Drosophila melanogaster: one gene and its partners. Changing the gene in region 1 together with any one later gene gives a genetic interaction. Each region holds a gene or a part of one and is shown in the gene's direction. Other genes may lie near its edges.

Evidence for each region.
Region 2: of Apc (region 1) and CG13895, changing one suppresses a phenotype caused by changing the other (phenotypic suppression), as found in Drosophila melanogaster (one study listed by BioGRID).
Region 3: of Apc (region 1) and ninaA, changing one suppresses a phenotype caused by changing the other (phenotypic suppression), as found in Drosophila melanogaster (one study listed by BioGRID).

What each region holds. Positions count from the first base shown.
Region 1 is NT_033777.3:28,839,968-28,848,515, reverse strand, and holds the start of Apc (APC-like), read left to right. Parts: upstream 1-3,767; 5' UTR 3,768-3,956; intron 3,957-6,232; exon of another isoform or gene 6,233-6,297; intron 6,298-7,690; 5' UTR 7,691-7,754; coding exon 7,755-8,548. Other genes in the region: spg (sponge), read right to left, coding at 2,516-2,549.
Region 2 is NT_037436.4:703,350-711,838, reverse strand, and holds CG13895 (uncharacterized protein), read left to right. Parts: upstream 1-3,633; 5' UTR 3,634-3,768; intron 3,769-3,835; 5' UTR 3,836-3,937; coding exon 3,938-3,949; intron 3,950-4,139; coding exon 4,140-4,160; intron 4,161-4,216; coding exon 4,217-5,704; 3' UTR 5,705-5,891; downstream 5,892-8,489. Other genes in the region: CG13896 (uncharacterized protein), read left to right, coding at 82-94, 152-897; CkIIalpha-i3 (CKII-alpha subunit interactor-3), read left to right, coding at 1,482-1,529, 1,592-2,101, 2,226-2,282, 2,345-2,506, 2,556-2,627, 2,685-2,759, 2,816-2,848, 2,911-3,129.
Region 3 is NT_033779.5:874,035-881,100, forward strand, and holds ninaA (neither inactivation nor afterpotential A), read left to right. Parts: upstream 1-3,267; 5' UTR 3,268-3,327; coding exon 3,328-3,837; exon of another isoform or gene 3,838-3,935; coding exon 3,936-4,139; 3' UTR 4,140-4,236; downstream 4,237-7,066. Other genes in the region: PNUTS (phosphatase 1 nuclear targeting subunit), read left to right, coding at 1,004-2,703; CG15824 (uncharacterized protein), read right to left, coding at 4,247-4,300, 4,358-4,739, 4,804-5,765, 5,831-6,880, 6,940-7,066.

The sequences.
Region 1 (8,548 bases):
AGTTGAAACTGAAATTGCCGCTGCGACAGCGGAATTCGCTGGAAAAGGCAGAAAGACAGCATCCGGTGCCGCAGGCCTGTCCCTTCCCGCCGCTGCCCTTCATCCCCGCAGATTCATTCAGATTTTTTGGCAAAAAGTTGCGTAAACTTTCAGCTTCGAATCTAAGTTCGCCAACTCCCGAATGGAGTGACCCGCATGGCCAGGTCCAGATTTACGAGGGTTGCTCCGCGGAATTGTCACCATTGTGCACGCGACTCACTGCGCAATTGAGGGCACAGCTACAGTCCGACCTCGCTGGATTGAACCTTTTGAAACTTAATAAAAGCTACCAATAATTTCCATTCAGTAGATTCAGTTAACACATTCAGAAGATGGTAATGGATTTTCCCATAGAATAGCTTTATAACCATACTACTAAAATTCCATATTAATATATATTATTTCCTTTATGTAGAGTTTATTAAACTATCCCTAAAGTTTATGAAAGAAATACTTTTCCCAAGTGCTTTCAGTTTCATGTGCGAACTCAATATACAAAAACTGAATGTAAACATGAGTAAAAGCCTGATACATTTGAAAAATGATTCGTCCCGTGACAGATGGTGGTTTCAGCTTTCAAGTTATTGATGTTCGACTGTATGTGCAGCAGGAGCGGTACAATAATTACTTATAGGGGAAGAAGCGCAGAACCAAGGGCTGCGGACAAAGAACGCGCTGGTAATGAAGTCATTGCCCAGCAGTTGCAGTTGGCCAGCACGTGGCGCTCCCAGATGAAAGGACAGAACGACAGGAGGAGGACAGTGGGCCGGGAACCAAGGAAGTAGGTCCAAAGTGTGCGCAAGGAGGCGGGACTGGGCATTGTGCAAGGTTAGGGCGTTGGCTTGCCAGCGCCTCGTATCGCTAATGATGCTAAACCAGCCTGGATCGCTGGATTGCCCGATGACTGACTGACTGATTGATTTGTGTAAACTCTGACCGCTCTCATGTCAATCTCTGCCGGGTTGAATGTGGAGCAAATGTCAGCGCACAGCAGCCAATAGCTGTCGCCACGATTGATGGCGAACTGGAGCGACTGGAGCACAAAAACGGAGCTGTAATGAAGAGTACTTGGATGGTACTGACGAAGACTGCATACCCTTTACCACCAAGATAGAAGCAATATAGAATGCCAAACTGATCAAGCAATATTTATTAATTTTATGGAAACATTTTAGGCATTACATCGTAGGACATATTCCCTTGGGTAGAGCATCCCATAAACAATGAATATTGGTGCTTATCTGGGCGAAGAAAACCCATTGAAGCGGCACAATGAATAAAACTTGGCACAGAGTCTGCCACTGAAGATGCTGTACGTAGTACATCGTCCGCAGCAAATCATCCGTTGTCGTTCGCTGGCTCTTTTATTTTATTTTGTTTTATTTTGTCTTATTTTATTTTGTTGACTACTTCCCTGCCCTGTCCCCGCAGTAATTTGTTAAGCGCTGCCATTGAAGCGAGAAGTGCGACGAATGCGAAGATAATGGAGCATCCCAGTCGAGGAGAAACCAAGACCAGCACATTGTGCTGCCCAAAGAATATCCAAGATTCACTTGTATTATTCGCATGTGTGTTATCACAACACGCAACTTGATTTTCCACGCCGGTTACACAGTGGTAACCGTTTAAATGTAGACTGTGGTGCAGGCAAAAATATATTTGCTGTTTATTTATTCTGCTTAAAGCTTGATAATAGATATAATATTATAGATATAATATATATATCAAGAGAAACCAGCAACATATTCCAAGTAAAATGTGTAACGAGAAAAATAAAGTCCATAGCAAGCAAGTTTCGATTCTTGAGATCTTAAATAGTTTTTACCATGTGCACTGAAGCGTTTTTCTTTCCCATTTCTATATTCTATCTACCGAGTAGGTTTTATATTAGCATACTAGGAAATATAATTAAGATGTAGTTATTTTCAGATCAGAATCAGAGAAACGTTTCAAATCAAAATCAACCATATGAACTTGGACAAATATATATTTTGTCTGCGAAATAAACATTTTTTTAGGTGTTCGTAATTACGAAAGCATTTAAATTGGCAACACCTGGGCTGGGGGGAAATTGGCAACGCGACAGCCGAGCGCTGTGCGGGAAAACTGAGCGCGCGGAAAACTGTGTGTATAAACACATCAAATCGCAGCGCAGCGGCAGCAACAACAAACAGGGAAATCTCTTTGAGATACACTACACGCTGCATGGAAAGGGGGGGGGGGCGGTGCGGTGAACTGGGGGATGATGATGCTACAAACAGTTTGTGTACAAAAATAAGTAGAAAAGTCGCTTTTCCTCCCCGCTCGGTAACGTGCGGGGGTGGTTGGCATGGTATCCGGCGTTTCGCGGAAAAACGCGTGAATCGCCGCAAAAGGCAGCAATAAAAACAAAGGCCGCGCACGTGACGCCCAGCGGGGGGTGGTGGGTAGCTTGGAAAAGTGGGTGGCACACCGCCTACTCTTATTATTTACTCACCAACTCCGTATTTGTTGTTCGAAGGTATCCACATTTTGTCGCTGCTGCTTCGCTGCAAGTTAAGCCGAAAAAATCCAACTTAGCCGGCCACTCCTTGCATTTATAATTAATCAACGGTTTTTTGAGGAAACACCCTTTTCATCGGCAAATATCTGCATTTGAATTCGCATTTATAACGGCCAATATTTATCAACAATTTTTCGCAATAGCACACATACACACTCGTACACATCTACGCACTCAATAAAACTTTCGCTTTTGTTGTTGTCTATCTCCTTCTCTTTCTCGCACTTTATCTTGTTTAATAACTACAACTACAAGCAGAAAATACACTTGCTACATTGTTGTTGTCGCTGGAAGGCAACGATCGCGGTTCCAATTGGCAATGATTACCGCTAGGTGGAAGAAAAGGAAGTGGCTGATTGGGAAGTCTGGAAGTGGTGGCTTTGCTTTTGTTGCCTTTTTCACGGACCCGCGCACACACAAACAAGAAAATCAATACGAATTTGGGACTCCCAGCCGAACTTCCAATTGGATTTCTACACTGTGCGCAATTTAAATTGCTTGTCCCTTGGCTTCGCGAATTATTACCGTTGTTTTCTGCTGCACTTGCAACGCGTTTAATTTTCGCTATTTTTTGCGTTTTATTATTTTTCGCGTTCTCCGCTGCGCAGCTTCCCGGGCGCAGCAACAACAAATATCCGTCCGCCGCTCAGCTGTTTGAAGAACAACAACAAAATTCGGGATTCGTCGGCTTATATACGTTGCAGTGTGGCCAGTTGCTAAGCGATGGATTATTTACTATTGCATTTTTGAGGGAATTTTCATTTTAGCGGTGACGGTCACACCGGTATTTATGGTCTAGCTAAGACCCGAACCAATTCGCAGTTACAGTTTTGGAGGCACATTCATTCAATGTATTCAATAATTTAACAAACAAAACAATACCAAATCCGTTTTAATATGCAGTCCATAGCGTTGGTCTGACTCGGCCCCATTAACTCTATCCCATTTTTTTTTAAATTTTTTCTTTTAAATTAACGGTGTACGTATTACTTAACCGAGATATATAATGAATAAAATATAAGCACTAAATCTTTAAGGTTAGAAAATAAATTGCAGTATAAATATATTACGAACGAAGTAAATATTCAAGCGATATATATGATCCCAAGATATCGCTACATTCTCCCATCCCTAGCAGCTATTTCTTGTTGGTTTTTCGAATTCTCGATATAACAGTCACACTGCTCGCCGCGGTTGGTCGCAATTTTTGTTGATAAGCGGACTCGGAATTTCGGCCGCGCTGCGTATTTGTTTTGTCGCGAAACAAGCCAAGAATCCAAATAGTGGCAATATCTGTGGGCAAACAAGTGATAAAGCGGGAAATGTGTCATCTGGTGGGCGAGGAAGCTGCCGAGAAATTGTGTTTTTAGTCAAGGTACGCCAATCGGAGAATCTCTGGGTTCGTGTGTGTGTGGGAGTATAGTCGCTGACTCTTCCAATTGGAATTGTTCTTTTTGGGCCTGACAATAAAACGCAGAATGTTTACTCAATAAATGCGCACCATATACAGCTGGCGAATACAAATGTGTTTAGCTCAACTTGGAGCATGAGATACTCTTTAGTAGTTTCCTGTTCTCCTGCCGATTCCTTTTACAGGAAAAATCAATAAAGGTCCCAATCAGAACGCGACTGCGCCCTAGTGTGGGTGTGCAAAGTGCGTGCATGTGTGTGTCTATGTGTGTGAGTGCTCCTTTATCAGTTGGAAAACGCAGTGTGTTTCGTTTGTTTCGTTGTTGTTGTTTTCGTTTTAGTTTTCCAACAGCTGCAAGTGATTGTGGCACGCCTAATTGATAACTATTTTCGAGCACTTCCATTCAACTTCACCTCAGCATAATTAATCACCGCATTAAGGAAAATACGTTAATATCGGCACGCTCGATTGTCTTACATGCCCACAAACATGGGAGAAAAGGAAAACACAATTCCACACTGCATGCGCTCGTATTTAGTTTCCCTTTTACTTTTCTACAATTTACATAATCATCATCTCGCGGCGGCAAAGACACAAAACAACCGGGCAGCAAAACAAAAGTGGCGTTCATTAAACCAGCTCATAAATGCACACACAGAAATCATAAGTACATACATATGTACATATGTACAGTAGTTAGTATGTAGTTTCATTATTTAATGTTTTTGCGTACATTTCCCTGTGGTTTGATGGCTCGCGGTGTCATCATCTTTACCGCTTTTCCTTCCCCCGCAAATCTTCCATTCTTTTTTCTTTGATAATTCTGCCGCGAATATTTCGTATGCAAAATGTGTGCCAAGCCAAAAAACCGCACAGTGGGTGGGATGGGGCGATGTGGTGGCAAAATTGGTTATTAGCTTAATGGGAATTCACTTATTGGAGAAATATTTTTTATTTTTGCTATTCCCTTCTAATTGTAATTGTAATTGTACCATTTTTAGGGGAGGGTGTGACGAAAACCACCCTTCAGATCATCAATCTGCCAAAAAAAATATTTCCCTCTTTCAAATATTTCAACCTAGTATTCATTTTATCACAACAAATTACACTTTCCAAATTAGGTATTCATATGTCGGTTTAAAATAACTTTTAAGACCTTACCCTCTATAAGGTGATGAAGCTTTATCTTTCAAAATCCAAATCTGATCCACCCATGCTACACAAATGCTTAATTTATATGCATATTACCAAAAATGGAATTGTTCATTCTCATAATTCATTTAATTATGCAAATATTTGGATATACAATTATCAAATAAACACTTTTATTTATTCTTTTACACCTATCAGTTTAAGTAAGTGCTTAGTAAGTCTTACTAAGCAAGTGTTATTCAAGCAATAAGTCACATTTGTTTTTGAAATCTCGTTATCTCTGAAAGAAATAGAAACTGGGTGACTAAAAGTTTGTCAGTCTGATTCACTTTCTATCCGCTAAACTATGGCACTTGTATTTTATTTCAAAGCGTGGGGTTGTTTCTGTTTTCGCTAACTATGCGAACCAATTTAGTTTCCCAATACAGTTGACTCGAAACGCTTGGAGTCGAATTGTGTCCATTGTGCAGGGCTGATTCCCTTGTGCGACTCGCTGGCCGGTTAATGACACGAGGAGTCGTCTCTGGGGGACCGGGTACACGGCTCTTGGCTAGACAAGTGACGCATATTCTCGCATTCTTTGGGGTACTAAAAGTATCTATGTCGTATCTAGATACTTGTGTTTGTCTAATTCGCGGATCGTTGATTCATCGAATCGCTCTACTCTGCTCTGTTCGTCTTTCGAATTCTTGGCCTCGAGAGCACTGATATCGTGACTCTTGCTAAATGTTAATCGGTGGAGCCGAACTGTGTGCCTTATCAAGGCGGTGATAGTGCCGGCTGATCACATATTTTATATATTTGAGGCCTAGGCAAACAATCGATCGGCAATGATGAACGATGGCCACTGTGTCCAGTGCGGCATTCCAATCGAGTGGCTTGGATGGATGGATGCATTTCCGCTGTTACACAAGCGATTTGCATTTCACAGCCACTCAAATTGCGGTTACCACTTTTCGTTCGCCGGCTGTTTTCGCTCTTTACGCTGGTCGCAATTAAAATTTGATTAATTTGCCAATTGGAGCTTGAACAAGTCGACTTGTGCGGAGCCAGAACTGGTACACGACCCGGGTCATTCCCAATCCCAAACTCAATCCACTTGAAGTCTTGAATTGGATTGGGTACACAGTGAAAAAATGCTTGAAAATACAAGGTATCAAATCATTTGTTATATTCCTTTTCATTCGATATCTAAAATTATGCAGTAAATAAATTGTGCCATACTTTAAGACACTTTGTAGATTGATTTAAGAACCCCAAGGATTTATTTGACCCTTGATTAAAGTTGTGTAAATAACTTAATAGTGACCTTACGTTAGTTACGTTATTTTCTCTCTGTGTACATACATATTTATGCACTTCTGTCCGTCCACGCTCAATTTTACGCTACAATAACAGCTGAAAAAAAAGAAGTGCAGCACCAAATTGCATTTGCACATAATTCAACGGTAGCTCAAATGAGAAATATGTCTTGTGCTTATGGAGTGTGTGTAGCAACAACAATGAGAGCCGAGGCAATATAATATATCTGCTGAAAACGCATCTGTATCTTTCTTCATGCACTGGAAATTCCGCAAAGACGACGCCGTGTGCCGCTAACTTTCTAAAAAGATGCAGCGCCAGCTAATCATGATAATGACTTAGCTGCTCATTTGCTATTGTGGCTGCCGCCACCTGAATGTTGGCCGATGATTAAGTTACAGAGCGATAGAGCAGGCAATGCACAGAACCTGCCACAATAGGCGAATTCTTCTGGGATACAACAGCATCCAAGCATCTGCTTAGAAAGTCGATCCTACCGAGCAACCTTATAGATAGATAGGGGTCGGCCAATTAAAAAGTGAAAAGCTATTAAATTGGTTTCCCATTAAGATGAATTTATATATTTCGCTTTTATATTTTATGTGGTGTTCTAAAATAAAACAACAAGAACTACAAGAAACTTGAGGCTTTGGATCATTTCCTTAAAATTTGGCGCAATGACTTCACCGCTTAAGATAGCATTTATCTTGGCTGGATTTTCATATCATAAAGCTGACATACATAGTTTCCATCGATCATAAAGCGAGTCATATGCTCATGATGAGTTAAGTGTAGGCACTAAACTGACGACTGCCAATATTTTCCCATGCTTAACTTGCTGTTTTAACTTTCCTCAGTTAAATAAACTATAATTAAGTTGAGCTTCGAATGAGTGTTAAGAAAAAAGAAATATATACATTCAATATCATCTTTTTCGAGACACACGCCTATGCCTTTTTACATTTTTGCTATATTTTCCATCGAATCACCTTTTAAACTTAATACTGTTGCCTTTCTTAGCGCTGCCCACATCTAATATGTCTTATATGCATCCATGCAACTAGCTGACTCGTCTCTGTTTGAGTTTTGCCCATCGGATTACTACAGAGATTGGCGGGCAGAGTGGTGGTGGTGGTGGTGCGTCTATAATTAGCCCACGCCCTGGTCCGGCACTAAATTTATAGCAATCTAGAGTCTCAATTGTGCCTTCGCTCACTGTGTTTTCCTATCTGCTTTCCTTGCAGGCCATGGAGCATTGACTTGCACCACTGAGACCCCGAATCCCTAGTCCCCGATTCCCGCCAGGCCATGTTGGAGCCAACGCTGACGCCCGATCTGGAGGAGGGCATCGCCGAGCTCAGTCTGGAGGACGTGGATGTGGACTCGGTGCCAGAGCGTAAGCCGCACTTCCTCGACTACGACGCAGTGCCCCCGCCAGACTATGAAGAAGGCTTTGGGGCCAGTTCCGGGGAGCAGCTAAAGATGGACAAGAAGTACGAGCGGGATGGCGAAGTGAGCGACTACGAACTGGCCGCCAGTGGCTATACCAAGAAGGAGTTCACCCAGGACGACAACACGCTGCACTTCACCCAGAGCGCAGTCGGACTGGGATCCGGAGCCGTTGGTAAAAAACCAGCAGCCAAGCATTTTCTGGACGAGAACCCCATTCCGCCGGACTACATGTTGGCCCAGGAGCTGCGGGAGATGAGAGAACATCGCAGCCTGGACAGGAACTTCGAGCGACAGTCGGCGCAGCAGCAGCAGCTGGATGAATTGCCTCCGAGGAATGGAGGCGGCTCTCCAGCCAGCGCAGGTCGTCCATCGCGCAGCAAGGAACCATCTTACACGCTCTCCCGATTTCTGGACGGAGATGCACCTGCCCCTGCTCCAAGGCTGCCCAAGGGAGCTGCCTGGACGACCAGCTTCGATGAGCGATACACCTCCTCGGCAGTGGAAGCCACCTTGGGATCCAAGGTGGAGTGTGTTTACTCACTGCTCTCCATGTTGGGCTCAAATGATCCTCTCGAAATGGCCAAAAAGTTCCTGGAGCTGTCCGGAAATGCTCAAAGTTGTGCAACTCTTAGACGCTCTGGTTGCATGCC
Region 2 (8,489 bases), on another chromosome or scaffold:
CTTTCTCTTACGCCGTCCGAAAGAACTGGCAGCCTGGGAAACAAAACTTATTCGTCATCAACTGAATAGCTATTGTAAACAATGGATACAAAGTGTGAGTAAAAAACATAAATTCAAGAAGAAAACTATATATATACTCACAATAAGCCAGCTTACGAAAGGAAGTGGTGTACATCCAACACCCGACTTTTATTGTCCCTTTACAATGAACGCCAAGCTGATTTTCGGGATCCGAAAAAAAAGATCAAGGACATTTGGGGGGAAATGGTCGTTGCCCTTGAAAGCCAGGGAATGACAGATATCGATGCAGTTCAGCTGGATCGAAAATTTAGGAACCTGAAGAAGACCTACTATAGCATAAGGAGCAAGCTCCTGGCGAAGGTACCGCATTTCCATCCAAACTGGCAGTTCTACGACGAGATGTCCGAAATTCTAAAGGATGACCCTGTCCCACCGCCGCAGGAACTTTCCATCAATGATTTCGATGAAGCGGTGGTCAGTTTGGAGACCGGTATCCAGAAAGGCAGGATGCTGTCTATGGGCACCACTGTCAGCACAGTTATTCCCCGCCAAATGCGTACGTATCGCAAACGAAAGCAGCCATTGGATGATGTCGATATCAAGATCCAGAAGGACTACGAAGTGCAAACGGATCGGCAGCGGGATGGGGAACAGTTTACAGTCTTTAATGCCGCCGAACCCAATACTAATGATTTGTCAGAGTCTGCGGCCGAGATCTCCATCAGCAACGACGAAGAGGCATTGAGACACCTAAGAGCGCTCCAGGAGTACGCCATGATCCATGATAATTTCAGGGCCATAGGACTGCTAATACAGGTGGAGCACGCCATTCAATATCCAGCCCAGATCAAGGACTTCGAGGTGGATCAAACGTAGTGTCCTTATAAACAAGCACGTAATCTACTGGAAAAGCAAAGATAAGATAAGGCACATACCTAATTTATACCTCTATATTTAAGATTTTAATATTTTATAATATATATACTTTAATTTACTTTATTTAAATATGGTTCATGCACTTGCTAACACCACTGAAAAATGAATCTGGTTCTAAACAAATCTGGCTTGGGTATTGGCTAAAATATTGCGCTGTGGCAATACCGTTTTCTAAAACCTATAGTTACAACAATCTAAAGGAATTTCACAAGAAAAACCAACATTTCTGAAATCTTATTAGTATTTTGAAGAGTAACAAAGTGAATCCTGCCGAGATCAACGCCGATCTGTAAGCAAGTTCGTCTTGGAAATTGACAAAAACCGAAAAATCTGGCAGCACCAATATGACACTAAAGGTTCAAGAAAAGACCTTCGGTTGCACAAAATAGAAAATTCAAACATAATTGAAAAGAATTAACTAGTATCGTGAAAACATGTAATACAGTTAATAAAAAGTTATAGTATTATGCAATATTGATCAAATGAAGCAAACTTTATCGATAACTTCGAAATTGCAACCCTAAATGCATCGGATGGGCAATACCAATCTGAAGTCTACAAAAAAGCATATTGTGGAAGTCTAAGTTTTGTTAAATTTATGGAAAAGGAATCCAATTTATCGGACAACTTGCAGTCCCGGTTATTTGCACTGGGTCCTGCCCCGCCAGGATTTCGTCCACCGGATGCTACCGCCTTTGCCACAGCGGAGTCAAATCTTCGTAATGCCATCCGCTACCTTAATGATACCTATGGCGAGCTCGATCAGCTGCGCACTGTCATCCAGAAGGAGAAGAATAACTCGAAGCGTACGTCCTACAAGGCGCAGTCCATGATGCTTGCCATGCAAGTGATACGTTTCAAAGGACTTATTGGGAAGTACAGGGACATTCTGATTGGCCTGCAGGATGCCGAAATCATCAAGGTCAAACAATACATAGAGCAAATGGTGGAGATGAGGAACAAAATCCAGGCAAAGACCGATCCCACACAGCGCGAGTTCCAAGTGGGCAGCTCAATCTCACTGGTGCAGGAACAGCGCAAGACCAAGAGAATCTGCCGCAGGTGGCGGGATCGCCTGGTCCAGCTGACGGAGGCCAAGATGGACAAAACTGAGCAACTTACTGAGAAACCAAAGCTGATCAATGTAAGAACCGTTACAAAAGAACTTATACATATTTTCATTGCGCTTCCAATATCCATCCATGTTTTCATGAAAACTCTCATCGAATTCTGATCGAATTTCGACTGAACTCGATATGCTTTTTTAGAAACCTAGAAATATGTTAAATGCAAAAACCAACAAGTGGAAGGAAGCTGTAAGCTTGGTGAGTATAGCCAAACATATAAAGGATAAGTTAAATGCTAGTAAATATAAAACTAATCCTAGCAACAAAGCGGTCTAATTAAAAGTGGCTGTAAGAGGTGTGAATACCTAAGAAAGCTGACTAAGAATCGTCCATCCAAACTTTGTAAGGTGTGTAAAAAATGGTCTGATGATGAAAAAGCAAAAGCGGCAGGAAATAAGAAAGCCAACAAAACGCCAATAATGGTATGACACTATTGAAAAGTCGCAACATAAATTAATACTATTATTGCAGGCGAAGTCGAAAAAATTAGAAGTACGCGTGCGTACGGATTCTGAAGAAGCTATAATTAAAATAGAGATAGAGGTGGGTGTGTACAAGTAGATCAACAGTAACATTAGCACTTATTATTAATTTTCTTAGCATGGTGAATTTACCGATGAAGAGGAAATTGGGTCATTGGAAAAGGAAACGACCTTAAAAGATGAGATCAAGGAGGTTAGTTGTTTCTTCAACCTGAAAAATGTGTTTAATTTTGGAATGTTTTTTTTTAGACTGTTGAATCTCACGACACGGCAGCAGTTGAGGTAAGTAAACAGGTCCTTGGACTGTAATAGAACTAACGTAACGATAAATGACTCAATGACAGGAGGAAAATGAGACCAGTCAAGACGATGTGGACCCCAAAGTAGTCGCTTCCTTACAAAATTCACTGAAATCCATCGACTGTAAAAATATGGCCTTGGCCTACGTGAAGGTCTTACAGGAGTACGCCATGTTAAATGATAACTATCGGGCCATTGGACTACTTACTGAAGTTGAAAAATCAGTTTTAAATCCGCCTCAGAACGAGGATTTCGATCTATGATCTTATTGACGCCACAAAAATAAAGTTTAGTTTTTATATGTAATCTACAATTAAAATGTTCGTGTGTCCTGCCTTTGAGAGTCAAGACCCAAAATGTGTAAATAATTGTAATATGCGAAAAGAGTTTATAGAGTGGAATAACCAACAGGGTCCCACTTAAATGTGGTAAACGTTAAATTAAGCACTAGATATAATTTGAGCAAAAATAGCTTTATATATATGTATGTGTACATATCAAACCAGTTTCAGCTCAGATTAGGTGGTAATGCGATTTGTGTTTTTCGGCATGTTAAACCAGTTATAGCTGCTTTAGCGAGAGAATATTTACTCTCGATCCGAAAATAAATCCCATACCGCGAACGAATACCACCACGATCGGAATCGGAACGTGGGAAGTCGGTTTAGATCGCGAGAGAAAGAGCGGAATGTCTCTCGCAAAGATACGGTTTTTGCCGCTCCGCCAAACGGAGGAGAGTCCAGATCTCTGCAATGTTCGGACCGCATGCTCAGTCATTGAGTTGCACTCGCTCTGGCAACTTTAAACACGTGCGACCGCACATATTTTCTGTTTAATGTGCCTAAAAAACTGCTGTATATTTTCAACAAAGTGTACTTTATGCTCTAAGCTTTCCGACTGAGGTATGTAAACAAGATTTCTAGCTCTTCTCTGTATAATAACTATTTCGTTTTAATTTCATTGTTAAAGGAACAGAATTATATTGGTCACGTGAGGAGGGGGGGCCAGACTGGGAGTGCGAGCACGCTAAGAGAGAGTGGAGAACCTGAAAGTGTGAGAGCGGGAGTGGAAATGTACTCTGACGTAAGTATACTTTCGTAGTGAGTAAGTGAGAGTGCAATGCTTCGTTTTAGTAAAATCTTTTGAAATTTGTTATCTCTGAGCTAAAATATGCGAGACCCATTTGCGAATAAGAAGAGGGCATGTTTTGTAAATATACATACATAAATATGTATAAGGCATTCATGATATACACGCATACAGATAATTTGAGTTCTGTATCAATAACATACATGTAACTAAGCCTAGAAATCGGATTTTATAAAGAAATAAACCATGATTCAATTTCAGAATGATGACACCCACAAAAACTCGAATGGATCGCATCGCATACGGAACGTGCTGACTTTGGAGGAGCGTGTGGCTGCCATCCGACAGTACGACATTGTGCCCATGTACAGTAAGATTGCGAGGAACTTTAATTGCAGCTGGGAGCAAATCAAGAGCATAGTCTCCAATCGGGAAGCCATCCTGGAGTTCCACAAGGCCACCAATCGGCTCAGCCAGCCGGCCAATAAGGATGCCGAGCTGCGCCGGCGCAAGCTGAACTTTCTGGGCCACTGCCTGTACGAGTACATCCAGAGGGCCCAGTTTTACCTCCACAGCGATGTGAACGAGGAGATGATCCGCAACCGTGCGATCGAGTTCCGGGATCTCATGCAACTCGATGGTTTTGTGCCGAACAAACCGTGGATCAATCACTTCAAGGCCGCCTATAATATAACACTGTCGAATCGTCAGATCACGATAGTCCGCCGACCACCACGATCTATGGACTTGAGGGACATTATGTCGTACTGTGGACGACACACCTCGATGTCTTGTAGCTTAGCGCCTAGATCGCCGGAACCTGCGCTCACTAGCAGTGATCGACCTCTTTATCGTACAAAGACATTGGTCACCACCTCTAGCCAAAATCAAGCCACCTCGGATGAAGTGCACCTGCGTAGAAAGCGAAAGTTAGCGTTCCTGGAGAAATGCGTTTATGAGTACATCCAGCGATCACAGTTGGTTCGCCAGGGTCGTCTTGACCTAGACAATTTGCGCTTTGTGGCCATTAGTTTAAGGGACATCCTCAAAATCGACTCCTTCTTTCCCGACAAAGTGTGGTTGAAGCACTTTAAGAGTCGCTATAACTTTAATTTCACGGTGGGAGTTCAGGTGACGAACCGCCGCTTGCCGCTTTCCCTGGACCTAAGAGATATAGTTAGTTATTGCGGCCGGAATGAACATAAGATCACGCTGGACCACAAGAAGTCGCAGGAAGAACTGAGCCAGAGCGACAAGCCAGAGGTGGACCAATGCCCACAGGTGGAACCAAAACCCGAAGAATTTGAGCACGAAGAAGACGATGATTGCGTGGCCATTGAAGTGCCACCTGAGCTCATAGAAATAAAGGATGATGAGGATAATGACGATGAGCATAATGATAATGAGGATTTGCCAGAAAGGGCTACTAAACGAAAATCAGACGAGAACGGCGGCCCAATACCATGTGGCTTGAAGATTCAGAAGATTCAATCGCTCAATGAGTCATTGCCTGAGGATACGGAACTACTTCCAGCCAATAGTCCCGGTCATTATTCAGAGACCAGCGATGAGGCACATCTGCCGCGCTGCGTAGAAAGCTACAAGGACGCACTGCGTCTACTGAAGCCCCTGGAGGAATTCGTCCTAATGGAGGAGAACTATCGAGCCATTGGCCTGCTCACGCAGCTGGAGAAGATCTTTGAGTCCGCTGCGAAAAAGAGTGAGGAAATGGACAAATCCTTAGAATAAGTACCAAACCAAAAACATGTGCCTTAGGTTATAAGTATGTTTAGATCTTTGAGTACCCTCTGCAGGGTATAAGATAGGCTTTATGAAAACTGCGTTATTTCACTGAAAATGTGTATTTAATTTAAAACAAACAAGCAAGCGTAAACTAACTATTTGTAAATCAAATACAAGCTTCAAACACGCATATAAAATGAATATAAATATTATGTAATTGTTCTTGAATAACATGTTTCAAAACGAATACGTTTACCCACCGTTCACTTGAATAGTAACAAAGATTGACATTGTCAAGGTGATGCACCCATATATCTGTTCTCATGGCACGGCTATCTGGGTCTTTGACCAGGTTTCCAAGCTATAAGGCAACTTTCCACTCGCCCCAGCGAGACTAACAATCAGCGCTAAAACTTTACGTTCGTCCTCTAAAACTTTACGCGATGGTGGGATGTGGGATGAGACTGAACGAGTCCGAATGACCTGCAACGAAGTTGAAGTTGAACGTGCGTGGAACAGAAGCTCCGGAAGTGGGCAGATGGAGAGGGCGCACCGTAGGTGCTACATCAATTCTAGATGGGAGTACAGCCGGAGGTGGGCTGCGGAGGGCGAAGTCCGAAGGGCTGAGGATATATGGGGGAAGAGGATGCCAGCAGCGCAGCATCCCGGTGAGGGACCTTGCGGTGCCAGAAGGTGGACACTCACAATCACACTCGCACCTACAGATTGCAGAGCATATATGTAAGTGCACTGAAAGAAACGTAATCGCTTGTTGGTTTTGTTATATAGTATTTAAGATAAATATATATACCTGTTAGCTACATTATAAGTTATGAAGTTGCTAAGTCAAGACATATCGGAAATATGTAGAAAGTGTATTAAACTTTTGTCGCAGTGTCGATTGAGGGCGCTACGATTACACAACCGGGTCTATGGAGCGTTGGATACGCCACATCGCCATTGCTACATCGCCATCCGTTCCGGTTGCGGCAAAGTTTCGCCATACGATGGCAACCCTCCTGGGCAGCAGAAGCTGAGCAGGAGCTTCAGGACTTTCGTTTCAAGGATTTCCGACCGACGTCGTCAGACTCGACTGACGGCGACGGCTTGAATATAGCACTCTTACAGGCGAAATACCTACGAGTGTAGGGTAAGGTGCTCGGGGGCTGCCCGATAAAGGTACAACGCGAAGAAGAAGCAACATCAATGCAAACACAACAACTTTGGCTCAGGTTACTGCCACACGGCTGCGCCCCAAAACAAAATTGAAACCCCAGCGCGTTAAGAGCTCTGACATAAAACCCTGAAAGCGGAATTGCCGTTGAGGGATATACGACGAGCAAGAGGACAGACTATATATACCACTTTCAGCTCTTCAGCTCCCTCAACCTCATTCTCATCCTCATCCTCGTCGTCGTCATCGTCCTCTTGTGCCGCTTCTTCTTTTTCCCTCGAGTAGCTGGGGTTCGGCATATAGTACATATGCCAATCGCAGGACTGAGAGGATGTAAGGCCGAAGGGCATGTAAAATGTCCAATTGGGTACAGTTGACGTGGGTTTCGCCGGACAGGCAGGGGCTTATGATGTTGCACAACTGTTTGTGATCGGTGGATGAACAAAAATTTAAAGGAAGGAACTCGGGAAAGGAATGAACCATCAAGAGTGTCATGATCCAAATTATACCTATACCGAGGGTACTATAAATACATATATTAACTTCATCTCATAATTTGTTGTATGAAACTCGAGGCTTATAAAACTCGAAGCTTACCACCATTTCAATTGGAAGTTGCATAAATTTGAGTGCGCTTTTATTCCTTCGTCTTTATAAGAAAATTCCTTCGTCTTTATAAGAAAATCGTAATACGTAGCATTTTATTAGGATTATAAATGTTAGAGCTCGGGGGCCTATTCTATTTATGGCGTTTATATAGCGCTTCTGGTGTAACTTTTTTTATTGTGTCGGAATCATCGAGTCCCACTGGTTCCAAGCGCTTTTCTCGCCCACAAGGGTGGCTCATTGGGATTGGCGTGTCTAACTGCCATGCAGTGCTCCCCAAACTTTATGAAGGTAATTTTATCTTTTATATGTATATAGAAAACTTTTCATTGTCAAAACCAGGACAGCTGGGGGATATGGTTCTTTTGTTAATTTTAAAACGTTGAATACTACCCTTTATTTCTAAACAAGGGACTCTTTTTTCGATATTTAATGTTTCATTAGAAATGTGATTAAATTAATTCGGTGATTTACCTTTACTGGATTTTTATATGTCACCTAACTCGATGAGTAATAATTTAAAGATCGTTCGATATGCCGGGGAAATTGTTATGTGAAAAGAAAAAAAAGCCAATTACCTGGCTCATCATCATAGCCCCGATATCCATTAGCATCCTGTAAATGCATGCCATTTCATTTATTTACTTTGGCTGGCGGTTAGTTGCGTATATAGTATTGATTCTTTCATCATACCAGACTCACCCAATCGACCCCTTTAATCGGCAAACATACAAACGATGCCATAATCGTTTCCATTGTACGCCAAATACGTACAATGGCTCGCCAAAACTGTAGACCCCGGCTGAAGAGCGACTCTACGAATACCCGTTCATCTAGAGTGCAGATATATGTAGCTATATATATATATATATTTGTTTCGAACGGAAAACGTGAGAACTGACTGTATCTGATGGCGATGGCGATGGCAATGGTGGCGAAACAAGTCTGGTGCTCTAGTCTCTGGTTTTGCTACTCAGCTTTATACCCCGTACTTCTTATTTGGGTTGTCGG
Region 3 (7,066 bases), on another chromosome or scaffold:
TATAAGGTATGTAGATTCACTTGGCGAGCAGCCCACCTTAAAGACTTACAAATAAAATACGGTTTCCTCTAGAAAAATACGATTTTTCTATTGAATAAAAAAATGCATTGAGCGCAAAAGAAACGAAAACGAAAATATTGACTTAAGCTGGCGGTTCTATAAGTTGGTAGGTGGTTCGATCACCACCGTGGGCTTGAGTCCCAGCTGCTTTGCTTTGGCCTCGATTTTGCTGTCGTGCGTCACCGAGGGTCTCCACAATTGTTCGCCTCGCTAGAGCAGGCAACCCTAGTTTACCCACATCCTCGTCGTAGTGCGTCATCAGCGGATGCGTCACCTTGGCAGTAAGCTGCACGGTGCGCGTAATCTGATCGCAGTGTCGGGTTCCTTGGGTAGATTAGTGCTGAGGAAACCCAATGACACTTATCGATGTGCTGACATAAATATACTAAAAGCATCAAAGTTTAAAGAGGTTTAACTATTGCGTATAACTAGTAGTCTTAGCAATACACTTTTAATAAGCGTACTTCTCAAGTTTCAATCGCAATGAGAGCTTATAACTATTTTAATTATGATGATTAAACACTATTTGTGTTGAAAAACTAGTTAAATAAAAAAAAGTCGAATAATTACATTTTGACATTTATATATGAAATTATACCGAATAAAGTCGAGCAAGCCAAAACTTTTAAAGAACTTTTGGGGAAAATTCATGAATTGTTTAGTAGTTCTAGGTTTTGGTATATATTCGGTGCTTATTCCAGTAGAGAGACTCCCATTTCATTAATTATCGAAATGTGGGTAAACTTAATCAATCAATCATAAACACAACAAATGTGTGTGTCCAGATCAGATTGTTTCTTTCCATAACTTTTTTACTTCTAGCAATTTCCAGCAAAAGCAAAATCCACCAAAGCCAATGGGCCATTCAACGAAGGCCACTTAAACATTTTCTTAACTAAACCAATTACTGGAGCGATTACTTACTTTACCCTCATTTTTCCAGTTCAAACCCTGGTGGAGACCAACCTGTTCTCGGACGCCCTGGCCGCCTCCATCGAACCCAAAAAGGTGGTGAAGCGCAAGCGTACGTCTGCAACATCGCCCACGGACAAGGACGCGCCACTGGCGCCGCTTAAGTTCTACCAGGATACTCTGGACGAGTCGAAGAGCGAGGAGAAGTCGGACGACAGCAGCAAGGAAAACGATGATGCGCGCTCCTCGTCACCTGGCAAGGACACGGATGCCGATGACGACGACATTCCCCTTAAGAGGGTCAAGGAGGACATCGAGCAAAAGGTGCAGAAGGCGAAGGCTGCGGCAGGCGGAGAAGGCGGAGAAGCGGGTAACACCTCTGACAACGCTGAAGATCTTCCCGAGGAGCCCAAGAAGCCTGGACCTGGCTGTGGACCCGATGGACCACCGGGAGTGCTCACGCTGCACCGCCGCAAGGGCCCGAAAAAGAAGCTAACCTGGCAGTCAGAGGAAAAGCTCACCCAGATACGATACTTCGAGGTCGATCGCTCAGAGCGCGTAAATGTGATGAAGCAGACCTTCCTGGAAATGAAGAACATGGAGCGATTCAGCGAGCGGGACGCGCTGACCATTGCTCGGCGTGGATTCGACGATACCATGGAGCCGCAAATGGAGTGGCGGCCACTACTCGAAGTCGATAATGTGCCCGACCACCCGAACGGAAACCTCTCCAAGCAGCGCCAGGTGCAGATGGACAGGGAGGCCACCACTCTAAGAGCCCTGTACTTCTCGCCCGACATGATTCCCGACAGTCCTGCGGAGGCGGAACTGGAACCGCATTTTGCTCATGACATTCCCGTGATACCCATGGATGACCTGACGGGGAATCCGGATGCTGTCAACGACTACAGTGCCTTGGCGTGGCCGGAGCCCAAGAAATACGCGCCTAGCTCGGGAGTCGGAGCAAATATCAGCGGATCGGACATGGGCTTCAATGACAATATGTTGACCGGACTGGGAGCTGGACCGAACCTAATGCAAAATCCATTCGATCCGTTCATGGGAGGCATGCCTGCTCCCACGGGAATGCCACCCGGACCAAACATGATGCCAAATCAAGTGCCCAACGGAACGCCGCAAATCTGGCAGAACCAAATGGGTCCGGTAGGTGGGCCGCCCGGTGTACCGCCCATGATGAACGGACCCGGTGGCCCCGGAATGGATATGAGCAATATGAACATGAACAACATGCCACCGCAAAACTTTATGGGCAATCAGTTTGGAAGTCCAGTGTCTCCATTCGGAAGCGGCCCACCACCTGGATTCAATCAGTACCCGCCCATGATGATGAATGGACCAGGTCCGGGACCGGTAATGGGACCCAATGGTCCAGTGATGGGACCCAACGGCCCCATGATGAACGGCCCACCCAATGGACCCATGATGAACGGGCCGCCCAATGGAATGGGGCCAGGACTGATGATGGGCGGACCTAGGAATAACAACAACAACAACAACAGGAACAAAAACAACGGCGGCGGCATCTGGCGCAGCGGGGGCAACAACTTCCAGGAGAACTCCGGCGGCAACTGGCGCTCAGCAGGATCTGGCCCCAATCGAGGAGGTGGAGGAGGCAATGGCAACACCGGCGTCTGCAAGCAGTTCATGCGAGGACACTGCAACATGGGCAAGAACTGCAAGTATGTGCATCCGCAGAAGAAGCGCTTGTAGGACCTACCCGAATCTTCTGCGGAAGATTCAGCTGCATAGATCTCAGACGCGCAACGGAGGCCAAGATTTCCGAAATCGAGTCCCCACATGAAGACTGTATCCAGGTTAGCCGCCGCAAGTTAATCTAAGTGTATATATGTATTCGGTATATTTTTGTGTAGACGCAGTCTATCCCTAAGTTTTTAGCCTAAGATCTGGGTTCAATTCCCTGCCCCGCTAACTTTATTATTATGCTGATTACCATAAGGTTAAATATTTATAAGTTTAAATTTACACAATTAAATATCAAGTCATATGATGCAAAGCCAATGCAGTTGATTTATTTAGTGAAACGAATTGAATGCACTTTTAGAAACGATACTTTTGAAGTTTTAGTTATTAACATAGTTGAGCCAAACATTACGTTTGCCATTAAACCGAACAAGATGTTTGCTGCCGGGTGCTGAAATCGATGTCTGCAGAGGGTATGCCATCATCATGCGGTGCTTGCACTTAACCTGAAACTTTTGTGGCTTCCGTTTCCAGGCCCGCGACCCAGAATTGACTTTCTACTCGTATAGTTTCCACAGTCCAGTCTTCGTTTCAGTTACGTGTATTTCATCAGCGCGTTAGGTCCGTAAAATCATGAAGTCATTGCTCAATCGGATAATCCTGTGCAGCGCCTTTCTGGCCGTGGCCAGTGGTCTGAGCTTCACGGTCACGTCTCGGATCTACATGGATGTGAAGCACAACAAGAAGCCGGTGGGCAGGATCACGTTTGGACTGTTCGGGAAGCTGGCTCCCAAGACGGTGGCCAACTTCCGGCACATTTGCTTGCGCGGCATCAACGGGACCAGCTACGTGGGCTCGCGATTCCATCGCGTGGTGGACCGCTTTCTCGTCCAAGGCGGCGACATTGTGAACGGCGACGGAACTGGCTCCATTAGCATCTATGGGGACTACTTTCCGGACGAGGATAAGGCTCTGGCGGTGGAGCACAACAGACCCGGTTACTTGGGCATGGCCAATCGGGGCCCGGACACCAATGGCTGCCAGTTTTATGTGACCACCGTGGGCGCCAAGTGGCTGGACGGAAAGCACACCGTTTTCGGCAAGGTGCTGGAGGGAATGGACACCATCTATGCCATTGAGGATGTGAGTATTCAAGCAAACCGGAACCACAATCGTGGCTTAAACGCATAGCCACCACACAGAAATGTAAGAAACTTTTTCTGACACATTTTTCGTTCCAGGTAAAAACCGATACGGATGACTTCCCCGTGGAACCCGTGGTGATCTCCAACTGCGGCGAGATACCCACGGAGCAGTTCGAGTTCTACCCGGACGACTTCAACATCCTCGGATGGATCAAGGCGGCTGGTCTGCCCGTGACCAGCTCCTTCTGCGTTCTGCTCATTTTCCACTACTTCTTCCGCCAGCTCAACATGTACTGCTGAGGACTTTGGAGTATAAGCTTTATTACTGCACATAAGACTAAGAAGCCCCCATACACTCCGAATGGAATGAAACCCACAATAAATGCATACAAATCTTAAGGACTTCACTAGGATACGAGCACGGCCTTCAGTAGGATGGGAAGAGTCGGTCCCATGTGCAACTGTGGGATACGTGTTAGCATTTAAGGATTAGCTCAGCTTATGTCAGTGTAACTTACATCGATGAAGAGGTAGTCCTCCACGTGCTGATCCTTCTTGTAGAACCGCGACTCCGGCTTAAAGAGCCCAACCATGGTCACGTCCACTCCGGAATAGTTGGACAAGCAGCCTGAGAAGATCTTGGCCAGCGTGAAGTGGTGCTTGTGGTCTGGATAAACGGAACGGTTCAGGCTGTTGTAGTATTCCTCGATTAGGCGTCGGTCCTTGGGCGCCAGATCCCGCTGGTGCTGGACCATAGTGTCCAGGTCAAAGGAGTGGGCGTGCTTCACCTTGGGATCCTGCTCCGCGTCCATCAGTCGCTCCATCATATTCCTGTACTTTTTCTTAAAATACTCCAGTGCCGTGCACTTCTCAGCCCAGAAGGAGAACTTTTTGTCGGAGCTTAGGGATATTGATATTATTTGAGTTTCTTATAAATTAAAATGCATCAGATTATACTACTTACTGCTTGGCATCCGTGACATTGAAGTCCACATATAAGCCCGGAATCCTGACGGCCGTGCGTGCTGCTGCAATGAGTTTGCCGGGTCCGAAGAAGTGCAGCTTTAGCTGGAAGCGCCGCACGGAGTTCCTGGCCATGGAACCCAGGTCAAGGACGTAACCGTGCTGCTCGCACGGAATGGGTTGGACGGTGAAGTGCTTCACCATAGCCGACTGTTTGAGTCCCGGTGAATTGTGCATCTTTTGGTAGGTTTGATGGACCTGCTGGTGCAGCTTGTACAACTCCTGATTTGAGCGGAGTCGCTTTAGGTACCGCTCCGCCAGGATCAGTTGCCTCAGGACGGTGGCATGGGGCAGCTCCTGGTTGTTGTTCACCATCACGTAGGTGTGGACCATGCGGAAGAGTTGAAAATCGTGCGCTTCCTTCCGCTCGGAGGACATTTCGGACTCGCTGGCGGAGAGCAAAGAGAAATCCTCGGTGATGGATGGTTTTTCCTCCACTTGGTTCTCCTCCTCGCCATCCGCGCGTTTCGGCTCTTCATCGACCTCCGTGATGGAGCGAAATATCTCGTAGTGATAAATCTTTTGCAGCATCCGGTACTCCTCCTCCACCTCCAAGGGATCCATAGGCGCAGAAGGCAGTGGAGAAGCCATTTCCAGCATGGGCATAACGCCCTGCCCCCTCAGATGAAAGTAGCTGGAGTCGCTGTTGTTGATCATCGCTCCGAAGGAATGGCGGAAGCTCTCGCTGAAACCGAGAATGCCCTTCACACGTATCTGATTCGCTCCGAGTGGCTCCAGCTGCATAATATCACTGGTCACCAGCTTGCAGTACCCGTCCACCAGACGCTTCTCGCGGGCCTGCTCCTTGCTGCCCGGGGCCTTCACCTCGACGACAACCAACTGGAGCGGATACCTGCTCAAGTTGTTGACACGCAGCGTGGTATCGAAGGTCTCGTACCAGGGCTAGTATTTAGATAAATGTATTGACATAATCTTTTCTAATGGTTTCCAATAGTTAGTATACCCACCTTAATGCCCATGTAGATGCTCTCCTTGTGGAACTTTATCTTCTGCGGCAGATTGACCAGTGTAACGGTGAATCGCTGAGTACGTCCGCCCAGGATGACCAACTCAAAGACGGCCCGCATCTCGTGGTTCCGCCGGATGTGCGGCAGATGGAGCTTGCACTCCAAATCCATGTGATCGACAACGCCTCTCTTCTCGTAGAAATAGATGAAGCGACTCGAGAAGCAATACTCCGAAGAAGGCTCCGACCACTGATCGCTGGAATCGATGTGCAAGCGATTAAGAATGTCCGATATGGTTTCCCGCACCACACTTGTCGAGCTCTGATCGCTGTCCTCCAGGTCGTCGGTGGGATCCTTTGGCGGGAATAGCAATGGCTTGTGCCTCAAGTCCATATCGTTGATGACGTCGTCCAGGAGATCCAGAATAAAATCGCCCTCCTCCTCAAATCGACGAAACTGGCAGCGACACTCCTGGTATCTCTTTGTCATATTTGGCTGGTCCTCGCAGCTGAAGTCGTACTCCAGCATCCGCAGAATCTCGGAGAGAATTTCACCAGCTATGCCATTCGGGTCATCCTCGTCGCCTATGTACACCTCGGTGGTCTCCAGCCTCTTCCACTTGAACTCGGCTGGCATACAGCCTTGGTTGACCAGATTGATGATGCTGTCGTAGGCCTCGCCGCGATCGAAGAGGACGAGATCGGGTTGCAGGATCACCACATCCGGCACCATTATGGCCAGCCGTAGGGGAAGGGATTTGAGCTGCTTTCCCAGCGCCATAACCATGATCCTTCCTTCGATTTGGCGGCAATATTGGTTCTTCAGGCCACCTCTGTTGAGAATCACAAAGATCTCCTTACGCTCCAAGTCATTCATGCTAATCCTAATCTCTTTTTCGTAGGTGTCTTCGTAGAACTCCTTAATTCTGAATGGACCGGTCACCTGGAGTGTGACCTCAGCGATTGGCAACGAACAGGGATTAAACAGTACTGGCGTCTCCACATAGGATCGTTCCTTCAGTGGCTCACAGCGCTTGTAGTTAAAGTTTAGCTTGGGGTATAAATAATAATAAATTAAACTATATATATGAATCCTAATGAAATGCTAACCTGCTTTGGGATCCAATGCAGTTGACAGTCCACAAAGTCGGCGGAAGTCCTAATCCTTATGATGTGCTTGCGTTGCGGGTACTTTTGGTCGATGACCTGCAGCAGGAAGTCGCCGGTGGCGTGTCCC